Linked DNA regions of Medicago truncatula. The protein of the gene in region 3 binds, or shares a complex with, the protein of the main gene of each other region. Links are inferred from orthologs where the notes say so. Each region holds a gene or a part of one and is shown on either strand. Other genes may lie near its edges.

Region 1 (3,756 bases), on a different chromosome or scaffold from region 3:
AAATTCGCACATTTTCTGGAAAGAAAATACAGTCCCCCATATTAAATCAGCTAAGAATAGGAAAGATGCGGGTAACGTGCTCCAATGGTACACTATCTGCAGTGTTTTTCTTCAAAATTGGATCATTAAATTCATTTCTCGGAAGGACGATGAGTTGACCCTTCCCCTGGCTTTTCTCAATAACCCAACCAGAGTTTTCTACTTGGTGTTCAAGGAATTTGTCCAAGGATAAACCTTCTACATTGATAGCCTATTCAAGTTTAACAAAAAATAAATGATCTTGTTAATATGCTTCAAAGTAATATGAGAAATCAACTGATATCTATTAGATCCGTACAAGTCTTCAAAATAAAAACAATTTCTACAGAAACCAACACTCTTGTACTTGACAAACAGTGAGAAGAATTCAAATAACTAACCGCCGAAGTTTTCAAGAATCATTTAACCCCAAAGGAATAAACAGAACAATAGTGTTGTATTGTGAATCTAGAAGTGTTGTATTGTATCATGTACGAGTTCATTCATCAAACCTGAGTTAAACTAGGTTTTGGAGACTTAATGAATCGTGAATCTAGAAGTGTTGTATTATATCAGTATGAGTTCATTCATCAAACCCGAGTTAAACTAGGTTTTGGAGAATTAATGTAATGTACTTTGAACTAGCAGAGACTAAGCCACACAAACTATTTTTCAGTAATAAACGAACCAATATTTAAATGGACAAAACTAAAAGCATACCTCAGCAAGCACAGTTCTGGGAATCTTTTGGTAAGTCAAGGATAGAACATGAATCGCATAGCCTTGGATTGCCTGCTCAAATCCTGCAATAAATTTCTGAAGTAAGCTAGCATAAAAGCAAGCATTAACAAAGTTGAACCTATAAGCTAAAGCTCTATCTTGAAATGTCTGACGTATATAAAACATTGTAGCAGTGCAGCTCTATTATAAGTAATAAATTTAAGAAAATCAATGTCCAACATATATATGATATTGTAGCAGTACAGCTCTATTATTTCCCAATAATATATCCGTGATGAGCGTATGATAAAGCTCTATCTTGAAATGCTTGTCATATATAAGATATTTGTAACCACAAGCCTTCCCAGGGTCACGACTCAATTAACAAGATATAGCAAAATTAAATCAGTATCAATCATGAATGAATATAATGTATAATCACCTGGCACAGCTTCAACTATATGACGACTTTTCGATGCTTCATCCCAGAACTGACGAAACCTTCCAGTCTGAAGATAATAAGAATATTAACTTATGATTTCAAAGAACTGCTTAAGTCATGGCAACTAATTGATGCATACCTCTAAATAGTGAGACAGAACAATCAGTGTCTTGAACTGCTCCTCCATTTGCTATTATTCATAGGAAACAAAAATTATTACACTAAAAGAAAACAAGACGCCACAGGGTACTGCTTAATAAGAAAGAAATGAATAGATCAGTAATACAGTTACACAATTCTCAAAATCAAATAGAAAATTTATAAAACCCAGATGAATACCAGACACATAGAAACCCTATGTAATTTTTTTTATAGACAAATGTCAGTATTTAATTTTTTTTAGAGGAAATGTCAGCACGTTAGTTGTTATATTAGTATTTTTCTCTCCTTTGCAAAGGTTTGAACCATGTTCTTTAACCCTTGGCTAAAACCAGTTGAGCTACCCAACCCCCCGAAATCCTATGTAATACTAAAGATTGACAGTCAATTTCATAAAATTAAAATTGATTGTTAGGTCCTTCTCAATCAAAGGCATCTAACAAGAGTGACTGAATCATTCAAATATCCAATAAATGATGCATGAGAACAAGAAAAACAACTACAAAGAAAAGAATACTTTGTAAGAACCATACCACACGTTCTGGAATCAAAAAGAGACACAGGCTGAAATCTGGAGCCGGCATGGCCATGAGAGCCTGTTGAAAAACAAAACCAAATATTTTACCAAGTGATAACATCAATCAACTATCTTGGCTCTGTTTAGATAAACACCTTATTTGAGGCTTACAACACAAGTGCTTATTATGATAAGCACTTGTGTTCAAGCTATTTATATAGCAAAAGATAAAATAAAGTTAAATTGTTTTGATATAAGCTATAAGCTATTTTCATAAGCTATCTTGAAGAATTTATGAAAATAAGCTGAAAACATCTTACGAACGATATTGTAATAAGCTGTTTTCATAATAAGTCAATTCAAATAGGCCCCTAGGCATATGATTTTTCGTTCACAAGTAATAAGCAATAAAAAAAAAAACAATAGAATTGAATACCTTAACCAATATGCGAGCTACAATCTGAGAACTCATTTTCTCAGATTCAAACTGCAATAATAAATAAATAAACAAACAAACAATTACTTGCAATCAACCTTTATAATTGTCATCAAGCAATAATCTGAAAATGACGATTAATAAGAAAATGGATACCTGGTAGAGGCGAAGAAGGCAGAGATTTGATTCGAGGCTGTAAGTTTGCGATGAAACCTGAAGAAATAATAATAAAAAAAAAGGATAGAAAATCGTTAATTGGAATTGTATAAACCCTAATTTAGTGATATGAATGATAAAAAAGAAAGGTTACCTGATCATTGACATAGTTTTCGAGATCTGGAAGAATATCAGGATTGTAACGATTGAATGCAACGAGCTGTTCGACAGTGTAAGCAGTTCCTCCCTGTCCTTTCTCTGCTGCTGCTGCTGCTTCTCTTCCCATTTCGAAACTCTCTCTCTCTCTCTCTCTCTCTCTCTCTCTCTCTCTCAGTTGATGCGCTAAACCCTAGTACTTCGCTATCTTACCAGTTACCTCAACGCGATTCACAAGGAAAAGTTAAATATATTATTGCTCCTTTTTCTTTAACCAAAAATGTTTTTTCGTCCTTTATAGTTTATATATATTTTAAAAAAAATATAATGTTTTAATTTAATATTGTAGATAAATATTTCGCCTCCTTTAAATTATAACTCGTTTAAATTTGCGTTTATCTTGCTCTCTTGTTGACATAGAACAACAACGTGCGTTCTTTTAAGTTTGATTATTTGTGTTAATTACGATGGATCGGTCCACATTGAGTTTTGTCATGACTTTAAAAGAAGCCTGCAAGTAGACAGTAGAATTAGATTTCTCGAATTAATCGATCATTGAGTTGGATATCAAAATTATAAGTTATTTTAACGTGATTTTAAATAGACTAAAAAAATAATTAATTTTGTATTGAAGAAGGAAATCACAAGTTATATTACAATATTACCCATTATTAATTAATGGTATAAAAAAAAAGAAGCTTAAAATCACAAGTTATTTTACAATATTAACTTTTTTATAAGGAAATATTAACTTTGCTTACCCTTGCTATATCTTTTATAGATATTTTTGCAAAAATTAAGCTTAAAATTTGATTTTTAGGTTGAAGCTTTTATTCTTCTGATTTTTGAATTATTAGCACTTTTAAAATTTATACTTAATTTATCTATTGTCAGATAATTCTAATTTTATGTGAAAAACCGTATTTTCCTAAACACGTCTAAAAAAAAATCATGAAAAAATTTAACATGAAATTGCATTTTGAAGAACCCCTTTGATTTTGACCAAGTCAAAGATATCAAATTTAATGACTTAGATGCCACACGTGTATTATATTATCTGAGTAAATTACATTTTTGACCCCTAACTGATCGGCGATATTGGCCCCCCGATTTACACAAACCGACAATTTTGACCCATCACTGCATTCAGCC
Region 2 (3,756 bases), about 40 Mb from region 3:
TGACGACCTTGAGAGCTGGGGAAAGACAAAACAGAAACAAAAACAAATGGTAAGAATAGCAAATCATATATCTATACACTACTGGGAGTGCAAATGAGGGAAAGTTAAATACCACTTCTCTGCTATCAGGCTTAGTTTCAAGATTAAAGCCTATGAGATTAGCCATCCTCAAATTTCGCTCTTTTTCATGCTCTAGTTCTAAATGAGATGCACCATGAGTGCGATCATGAGGAGGCACCGAGAGTGCAGCTAGAACAACAGATGAAGCTATTAATTGCAAATCCTTTTGACCAAGATTTTTGTTGAAGCTTTTCTGTAACAAAAAGAGCTTAAACCATGCATAAGCATGATATAAATGACTTGAAGATTTCCAAAATATTTCTGTCAACTTGACATAGTAAACAGTCATCAAGGATGGTTTAGGTGTTTTCTTGACCATGCACATTAATCCATGAATATCTTCAACAGATCTGAAGGCTTCCTGCATGCAACAAAAAATCAGGTCTGCCAACATCAATGAAATAAACACCTTGTGAAGATTTAAGGAAAAATGAGAAGCTGCCAACCTGCCAGAGTTCAAGTTCAGTGGCAATTTTCAGCTGCTCAAATCTTGTATCAAGATACAATTGCAAGCTTTCAGGAGCAGAAAGGTCAGGCCGGTCTCGTTGGTCCCGATATTTGTTAAGATTAGCCAAATGATTTCTGATAATTTCACAGAGTCTGCGAAATTCTGTTGTTCGCTTATACTGCTTACAAAACTGGAAAGCTCGATGGGCTGTCATCTGCATATGGCAATAGAATCGACTATAAGTTTGACATAAAAGTAAATCTGCCTTGCATATTATTGTTTTTTAACTATAAAACGTAGAATGATATGAAATAAAAAAGAAGAATAAGTTAATGGGCAACAACAACATATAGCCCTAATGACAAGCAATTAATTTCTATTTATCAGGAATACTTACAGCATATAAGGCTTCCAATTTGGAGTTGTTCCGCAATATTTCAAGCACTGTCCTGTAAGTTTCCCATAGAAATTTAAACCATGGCGTAACAAGCTCCCGATCAGATCTATCCTTTCCTTTCTCGCCACTAACATAGCTCAGCATCAAATCCTCTGGCCTTTTATCAGCCTCCAGGTCATCCACATCAAGGGCTTCTTCCAAAGCCTGAGCCTGACTACGTGCTTGTTCAGCTTTCTCTGTTGACAGATGCATGAAGTGCTTGATCACCTCCTCCAGTGAGCTAACATTCACTTGCTGACATATTATACGATACTGAATGAGGCCATCCTTAGCAAATCGGCCTTTCCTCATGTCAACACAAAGCTCGACATACTTAAACATAATTCTCTCCAGTGTTTTCTGCCATGCGCGATATCTTTTCGAAGTGATCAGGTCGTGCAGAGTCTGAAGAGCATCCTGCTTCTGCCCGACATTGATCAACTCTGTAAATCAAATTTTAAGTGATTCAATTGCATAATTCTCTAAAACAAATGACAAGCTAAGAACACGAAGAATAGAAAAATAGAAACTAAATAGTCATCTTCTGAACAAACCTTCTGCCCTTTTGAGAGCATTCTCAGGCTTCAAAAATGACGTCATATTGCAAATTCACAAAAATTCAACTCCCTGTAAATAAGAGAGAGTGATAATGAAAATTAAAAAATAATAATGAAACAAAATGTAATCCAAAAACAACTGTAAAACACAAATTCACATCAGAATTATCTAGAAAAATTGTAAATCTCGCAAGATTATAGATTTGAATCACGTTAAACCAATGTCATTCATAAACTAAGACATCAAGTGAAATTGCCACTAAATGTAGCAGAAATTTAAGCGAAAATAACAATCAAACAGATATTCATATGAAAATTCTCTAGGAAAAAACGCCAAAAGATTGTAAATTACAATCACGATAAGGTGATGATATTCATAATAAGAATCATGCTAAGCCATCATCTTCGTGTAATATAATTAGCTGAGCAGATTAACTGAAAATAGCGATAATCAAAATAAAAAAAAAAAAAACAATAATAACAGTTAAACACAATTTCATATCAAAATTCTCTACAATAGTCAAATCTCGCGGAATTGTAAATTAGAATCACACTAAACCGATGATAATCATAAACTGAAAATCAAGTGAATCATCTACATCTAATTAGCTGATTCAAATTAACCATTAACAATAAAACTGGTATTATTGGAATACAAAAATAACGATAATTGAATCAGTTTATATCGCAAATCGCACAATCTCAGAATTGCGTTGCGGAGTGGATCTCTTCTCAAAAGGAATTTCCCGCGCACCGTCGTTCATAACGGCCGGGAAACGCGCCGGAATCGCATCGTCGAGAGTGGAAAGAAAATCGAAAGAAAAAAAAAAAAGGAAAATCTGAACGTACTTCGTAACGGTTTGTCGTTGTCGATGAAAAACAGTGGTTTCGTTTCCGTCCAGCTTTTGCTTTGTTACGAAGAAATTGAGAGTTGAGTGCGTCTTCTTCTTCTTCTTCTCAAACTGGATGCAAGTGCGCAAAAGCTCAGCGGCTGCTTATCGGTTTTGTTGCGTTAGGGTTTTAATGGTAAAAGCTTATTATGGGCCTAAGAAAATTGAATTGGGTCGGGTTTGGCCTCTTCAAAATGTTATGTATTTTTTAACCCAGGAAAATAAATAGTATGAAATAACAAATATTGAAGTTTATCGTAAAAAAGAAACAAATATTACTTTGGTTTTGACTCATCATTAAGACGTAGATTTTTTTTTACTCATTAATGATGTAGAAACTGAAAAAATATTAATATCAAAACCGAAATATTCACATTCAGGATGGAGCCAGAAATTTTTGCTAGAGGGGGCGAAAATAATTCATGTAATGTCGAGTCATTTGCTTGGTTTGAAATCAATTAATCACTTTTGTTTTAAATTTCTGATTTCTGAAGAAAAAAAGCTTTGGGAGTTATGAGAACGTAACATGATAATAAATCACATAAAGTCTGATCGTATATTTTTTAACTTAAATAATGTATTTTTTTCTTTTGCTAACATGAATAAGATGCCTTATTTTACCCTCTCAAACAAAAAGAATACTACTAATTTCAAAAGAGGCGAATGTAATGAATTTTTTTTCTTTCTATTAAGCAATACACAAAAATTAATATCATTATAAGAAGATGACTAAATGTGAGGCACTGGATAGAATACTTGTATATATATGTACCAAGTGACGTGGAAAGGAATTGAAATTAGAGTGTATTGAAAAGTACTAGAGTGATGCATGTAATTGTAGTTCAACTAATCCTGTTTCACAGGAGTAACATTCTTATTTCTTTAGGGGGACGAGTATGAGTTTCGGTATATATTTGTCATAAATTTCTTGTATTTGGGGGTGGCGACTGCCCCAAAACAAATATATGTAGCTTCGTCCACATTTTCTATCCTCTAACTAATGCACTCTAGTGTTGTTAGATTATTTTCTCCAACTTCCGAAAATTGGAGGTTATCACATGGCAAGTGATTTCTCTCGTGGATGTTTGTTTCAAGTTTAATAAAACATTCTTGAAAATGTATTAATAGGGAATTATTATGTTCATATTTATTGTAAGGTTGAGAAAAATATTTTTGGATATAAATCAAAGTTTATTGGAATGAACTAACTTCTCTTACTCTTGTGGAATCATTCACATGTGAGAAATTGGAAATGTGCATTCATGTGAAATTATATATAGAATTTTTTAAAAATGTCAAGTTAAT
Region 3 (3,756 bases):
TTTTCATCAGCTTAATAAAATGATATAGAAATGCCTACACATTCTAAATTACAACAATTAAATAAAATAAAAATTTATCAATAGAAAGATTATTTGGCCAATTCTGTAGTCTAATTGATATTATTAGCAGTTACATGTAAAGTTCATTCTTAATTGATGCATTAACAAATGTGACCAAGATTCTTTATACTGCAATCCACCATGATGAATGTGTTTTGATCACTTCATATTTTCATCAGCTAAATGAAATGATTTAGATACACTTACACATTATAAATTTAAAGAATTAAATAAAATACAAATTTATCAATAAAAAGATTATTTGATCAAATACTCAAAAGGTTACAGCAAAGTTCCAGAGCGCTTACGGGAATTTCCTCGAAGATATCCACCCATGATAAGTTCTTCTCCCTCAATCTAGTATTTCATAGGACAGAAATTAATAAAGCAAATCATTCAACTTAAAGAAAACATTACATCTTCCAGAAGAAAACACATACTTTTCGCCAGTGAAATTATTGCTGCGATAGAGTTCCATGAATGAGTCTGAAAGCTTCAAAGCCTTCAGAGCTAGGACCCCTTGATCAGCCCTGGATGGGTCATATATTATGCAAACACAGCGTCTAATATTCTCCTGAAAAAACATTAATAGGTTTGAAAGAAACAGTCATTTACCTGATTATTAAATTGTTAAAAGATTACTTCAGCAAGAACTGCATTGAATATGACAAAATCACCATTGTCACACATTTATGAAAAGTATAAACTTTAAAAAAAAAAAAAACTAGACAGCGGAAGCAGCATGAAATTCTCATCATCAGGTTATTATGCACAAGTATACTTTTGTTCATATAACTATCTATTCTTATCAACTTCCTACATTTTCACTAGCACAAATTTCTGCCTCAGAACAATGCAATAAGCATGTGTAAAATTATCAGTTAATTGTTAGAGGCAACTTGAATCCAACAAATAATCCTAATATCTGATTGTATCGATCACGAATGACCCACATCCTTAATATCATTATAAGTAGACAATAAAATGCTATAATCTTCGGTGGTGCATACCGCATATTTGTTTGGCCTATTGGACATTCTTAAATTATAGTTTCACAGATATTATGCAACATACTGTGCAATAACCTTTGAGTAATGGCTCATCTGACCAAGATTGAATAACTTAGAGAAGCGTAAAAAAAGAATATATTCAGTACATTCACATTAAATAGTAAACTACAGGAGCATTTAAGAATACAAATCCACAAACTCCGGCTTAAGTGAAAAATATGCAAAAAAAAATCAAGAACTATTACCTGGTAATTCATAAAGGTTTCAATCAGCTCCACAGTTTGATAGGAGCCAAGCAATGTAGACTGGTACCTAGATTCAGAGAATTATCAATCATGTTAGATAAGTGATTAAAAATAACACATTGAAATTTGAACCAAATCCAATCGTGATTATCAAACCACTGAAGTTAGAAAGACTCATACATATGTGAAGTGGTACTTAAATCATACGTACCATCCAACAGTATTATTGTCCACATTGACCTCTCTCAAGCACCTCATCATTTCAAGCTGGTAATTGGCACCATCAGCTTCAATTTCCTCGTCCTCTTCCCTCATCTGCAAATTTTAGAAATAGATATGAGGAAAACTTAATGAGTCAATGTTAGCTAATTTCAAAACTGAGAAACAAAATAAAAAAAAAAGTGATACCATACCGGAAAAGGGAAGCAGTTAGTAACTTCAAGAACACTGCCAACATCCAATCCAAGAAGTTGTCCAGTGACTAAAGAAGGTGAGTGATCCTTGCAATGCTTAATTATCTTCAGGATGACCTGTTAACCAAAAGATAACACCATCAAGACCAGAATGGTTTGAGAATTATCTTCATAACACAAACTAATTGAAGAATTCCATGCAACAAGAGGCCATGCTTCAAATACTTTACAAACTTACAAGGCTACATGAAATGGGTCCTGTTTGGATTGACTTATTAGAGTTTATCTATTGGCATAAGCATTTGTGAGATTGTTTGAGTGAGCTTATGGAAACAGCTGTCATGACATGTCCATAAGTTGTTTTCAGCTATTCCATGGGCTCTCTTTAATAGCTTATGAAAACAGTTTTTATCTTTTTGTTATAGAATTAGCTTACACATATAAGTGTTCAATTAAGGTATTTAACCAAACATGGTCACGGCCTAACATAAACCAGGGAAGAGGTACATACACACCTAACATAAACATATAAATTACAAAGCAAGACAAATGTAGATAACCCAGATGCAAAATCAAACAGAGACCCATAATTCCAAACAATAAAACCCATCAAAACCCCAAATAAAGACAACATTTTTCACAATTTTGATAACAGTATAACAGAATTGTGCATCACTATAAATTAAGCAATTAAAGAGTACAGAGAGTAGAATTAATACCAATCCTTCCATCTGAACAACTCTAAGAGGAGTTGCAACCTCTTCCGTTGCAACAGCTTGAAGAAAAGACCTGGTTGCAGCTGCGAAAAACGAATCAAGAATGGAATCAAATTAGTGAAGAGAAAAAATCGAGTAAATAATCGGGAAAAAAAAAATGGAGATTGTTGTGAGATTACTTGTAGTAGCCATGATTGGAATCTGAAGCGGAAAAAACGCTGTGAAAATCGATCGGGAATGAGGAAAATGGGTCGGAAGTTGCAGGAAGAAGAAACCCTAACGCCGGAGAAAGAGAGGAGTTTCTGGTGAGTGGTGTATTGGGCTCAAATAACCCACTAATAAAACCCAAAAAAAAAAAAAAAAAAAATCTTATTTTATAACAGTTATCGCATAAAAAAAGTTCACTTCCATACAAACCGATTAAAACATTTATATTTGGTGTTCAAATCCGGACACCACAAAAGAAAAATTGATTAAATTATTCTCCACGTAACTTAAATCACATAATGGAAAAAAAAAATTGATTTAAACTTTGTAATTCGAATTTTTTCTTGTTTTGAGTATATGTGACTTTTGATCATACAAAATGGAATACATGCCATGGGTAAACAAAATTCGCTTAAATTATAGAGGCGAAAGTACCTTTAAGATTCAAAAACCAAATAATATTTAAATTACAAGGTTGGAATTCCAAATTTTTTTAAGATAAATCAAAATTCACTCAAATGTTAGGGGTAAAAACCATTTAACCCTTTTTTTCAGAGACCCTTTATTTTATTATATTTGACGAATTTTCAAGAATATATCACACTAAAAAAATATTTAACTTATATTATTTTTATTGAAGTGAAATTGTTCTTATTATAATGAAATTTAAATCTTTCTTTTAATTAACAATTTAAAAAATATTATAGAAAAGAAAAAAATGTAACTAGAATAACTTAAATGAAATGTATAATTTAAAGATAAAAATCAGTCCAAAATCAAGTTTGATATTTTCATAAATAAGTACGGATAAAGAAAAAGAAACTAGTAATTTGACAATTACATCAGCAATGCTTTGAGTTTGATATTTTATGTGCTTTTAAGTTTATCTTTCACCTTAAAAAAGGTTTATCTTTCTTTTTTAACTCATGTTTATGTTACATTTTATTTGTATTGTTAATCTTTTAAACATAACAAGTTTCATTAAAAAAAATACATGTGACATTTTTTTTTTTGGTAGATACATGTGACATTTTAATATCCAAATAACTCACATACACATGTTAAATGTAGTATGTCATTTTCCTTCATCTCTTCACTTATTTTC

Evidence for each region.
Region 1: eukaryotic translation initiation factor 3 subunit H (region 3) and eukaryotic translation initiation factor 3 subunit K share a complex: the UniProt entries of both Arabidopsis thaliana proteins name them as parts of the eukaryotic translation initiation factor 3 (eIF-3) complex. The link is inferred for Medicago truncatula from reciprocal best matches to the Arabidopsis thaliana genes TIF3H1 and EIF3K.
Region 2: eukaryotic translation initiation factor 3 subunit H (region 3) and eukaryotic translation initiation factor 3 subunit A share a complex: the UniProt entries of both Arabidopsis thaliana proteins name them as parts of the eukaryotic translation initiation factor 3 (eIF-3) complex. The link is inferred for Medicago truncatula from reciprocal best matches to the Arabidopsis thaliana genes TIF3H1 and EIF3A.

Annotation. Positions count from the first base shown.
Region 1 is NC_053045.1:59,751,060-59,754,815, forward strand, and holds the start of eukaryotic translation initiation factor 3 subunit K, read right to left. Parts: upstream 2,828-3,756; 5' UTR 2,735-2,827; coding exon 2,603-2,734; intron 2,506-2,602; coding exon 2,449-2,505; intron 2,344-2,448; coding exon 2,293-2,343; intron 1,936-2,292; coding exon 1,873-1,935; intron 1,371-1,872; coding exon 1,320-1,370; intron 1,248-1,319; coding exon 1,181-1,247; intron 822-1,180; coding exon 739-821; intron 251-738; coding exon 47-250; 3' UTR 1-46. UniProt on the Arabidopsis thaliana protein: Component of the eukaryotic translation initiation factor 3 (eIF-3) complex, which is involved in protein synthesis of a specialized repertoire of mRNAs and, together with other initiation factors, stimulates binding of mRNA and methionyl-tRNAi to the 40S ribosome.
Region 2 is NC_053048.1:47,003,687-47,007,442, forward strand, and holds the start of eukaryotic translation initiation factor 3 subunit A, read right to left. Parts: upstream 2,573-3,756; 5' UTR 2,411-2,572; intron 1,632-2,410; 5' UTR 1,605-1,631; coding exon 1,559-1,604; intron 1,448-1,558; coding exon 966-1,447; intron 783-965; coding exon 567-782; intron 482-566; coding exon 113-481; intron 16-112; coding exon 1-15. UniProt on the Arabidopsis thaliana protein: RNA-binding component of the eukaryotic translation initiation factor 3 (eIF-3) complex, which is involved in protein synthesis of a specialized repertoire of mRNAs and, together with other initiation factors, stimulates binding of mRNA and methionyl-tRNAi to the 40S ribosome.
Region 3 is NC_053048.1:7,408,143-7,411,898, reverse strand, and holds the start of eukaryotic translation initiation factor 3 subunit H, read right to left. Parts: upstream 2,786-3,756; 5' UTR 2,637-2,785; coding exon 2,624-2,636; intron 2,528-2,623; coding exon 2,448-2,527; intron 1,846-2,447; coding exon 1,729-1,845; intron 1,631-1,728; coding exon 1,527-1,630; intron 1,383-1,526; coding exon 1,316-1,382; intron 635-1,315; coding exon 501-634; intron 418-500; coding exon 369-417; intron 1-368. UniProt on the Arabidopsis thaliana protein: Component of the eukaryotic translation initiation factor 3 (eIF-3) complex, which is involved in protein synthesis of a specialized repertoire of mRNAs and, together with other initiation factors, stimulates binding of mRNA and methionyl-tRNAi to the 40S ribosome.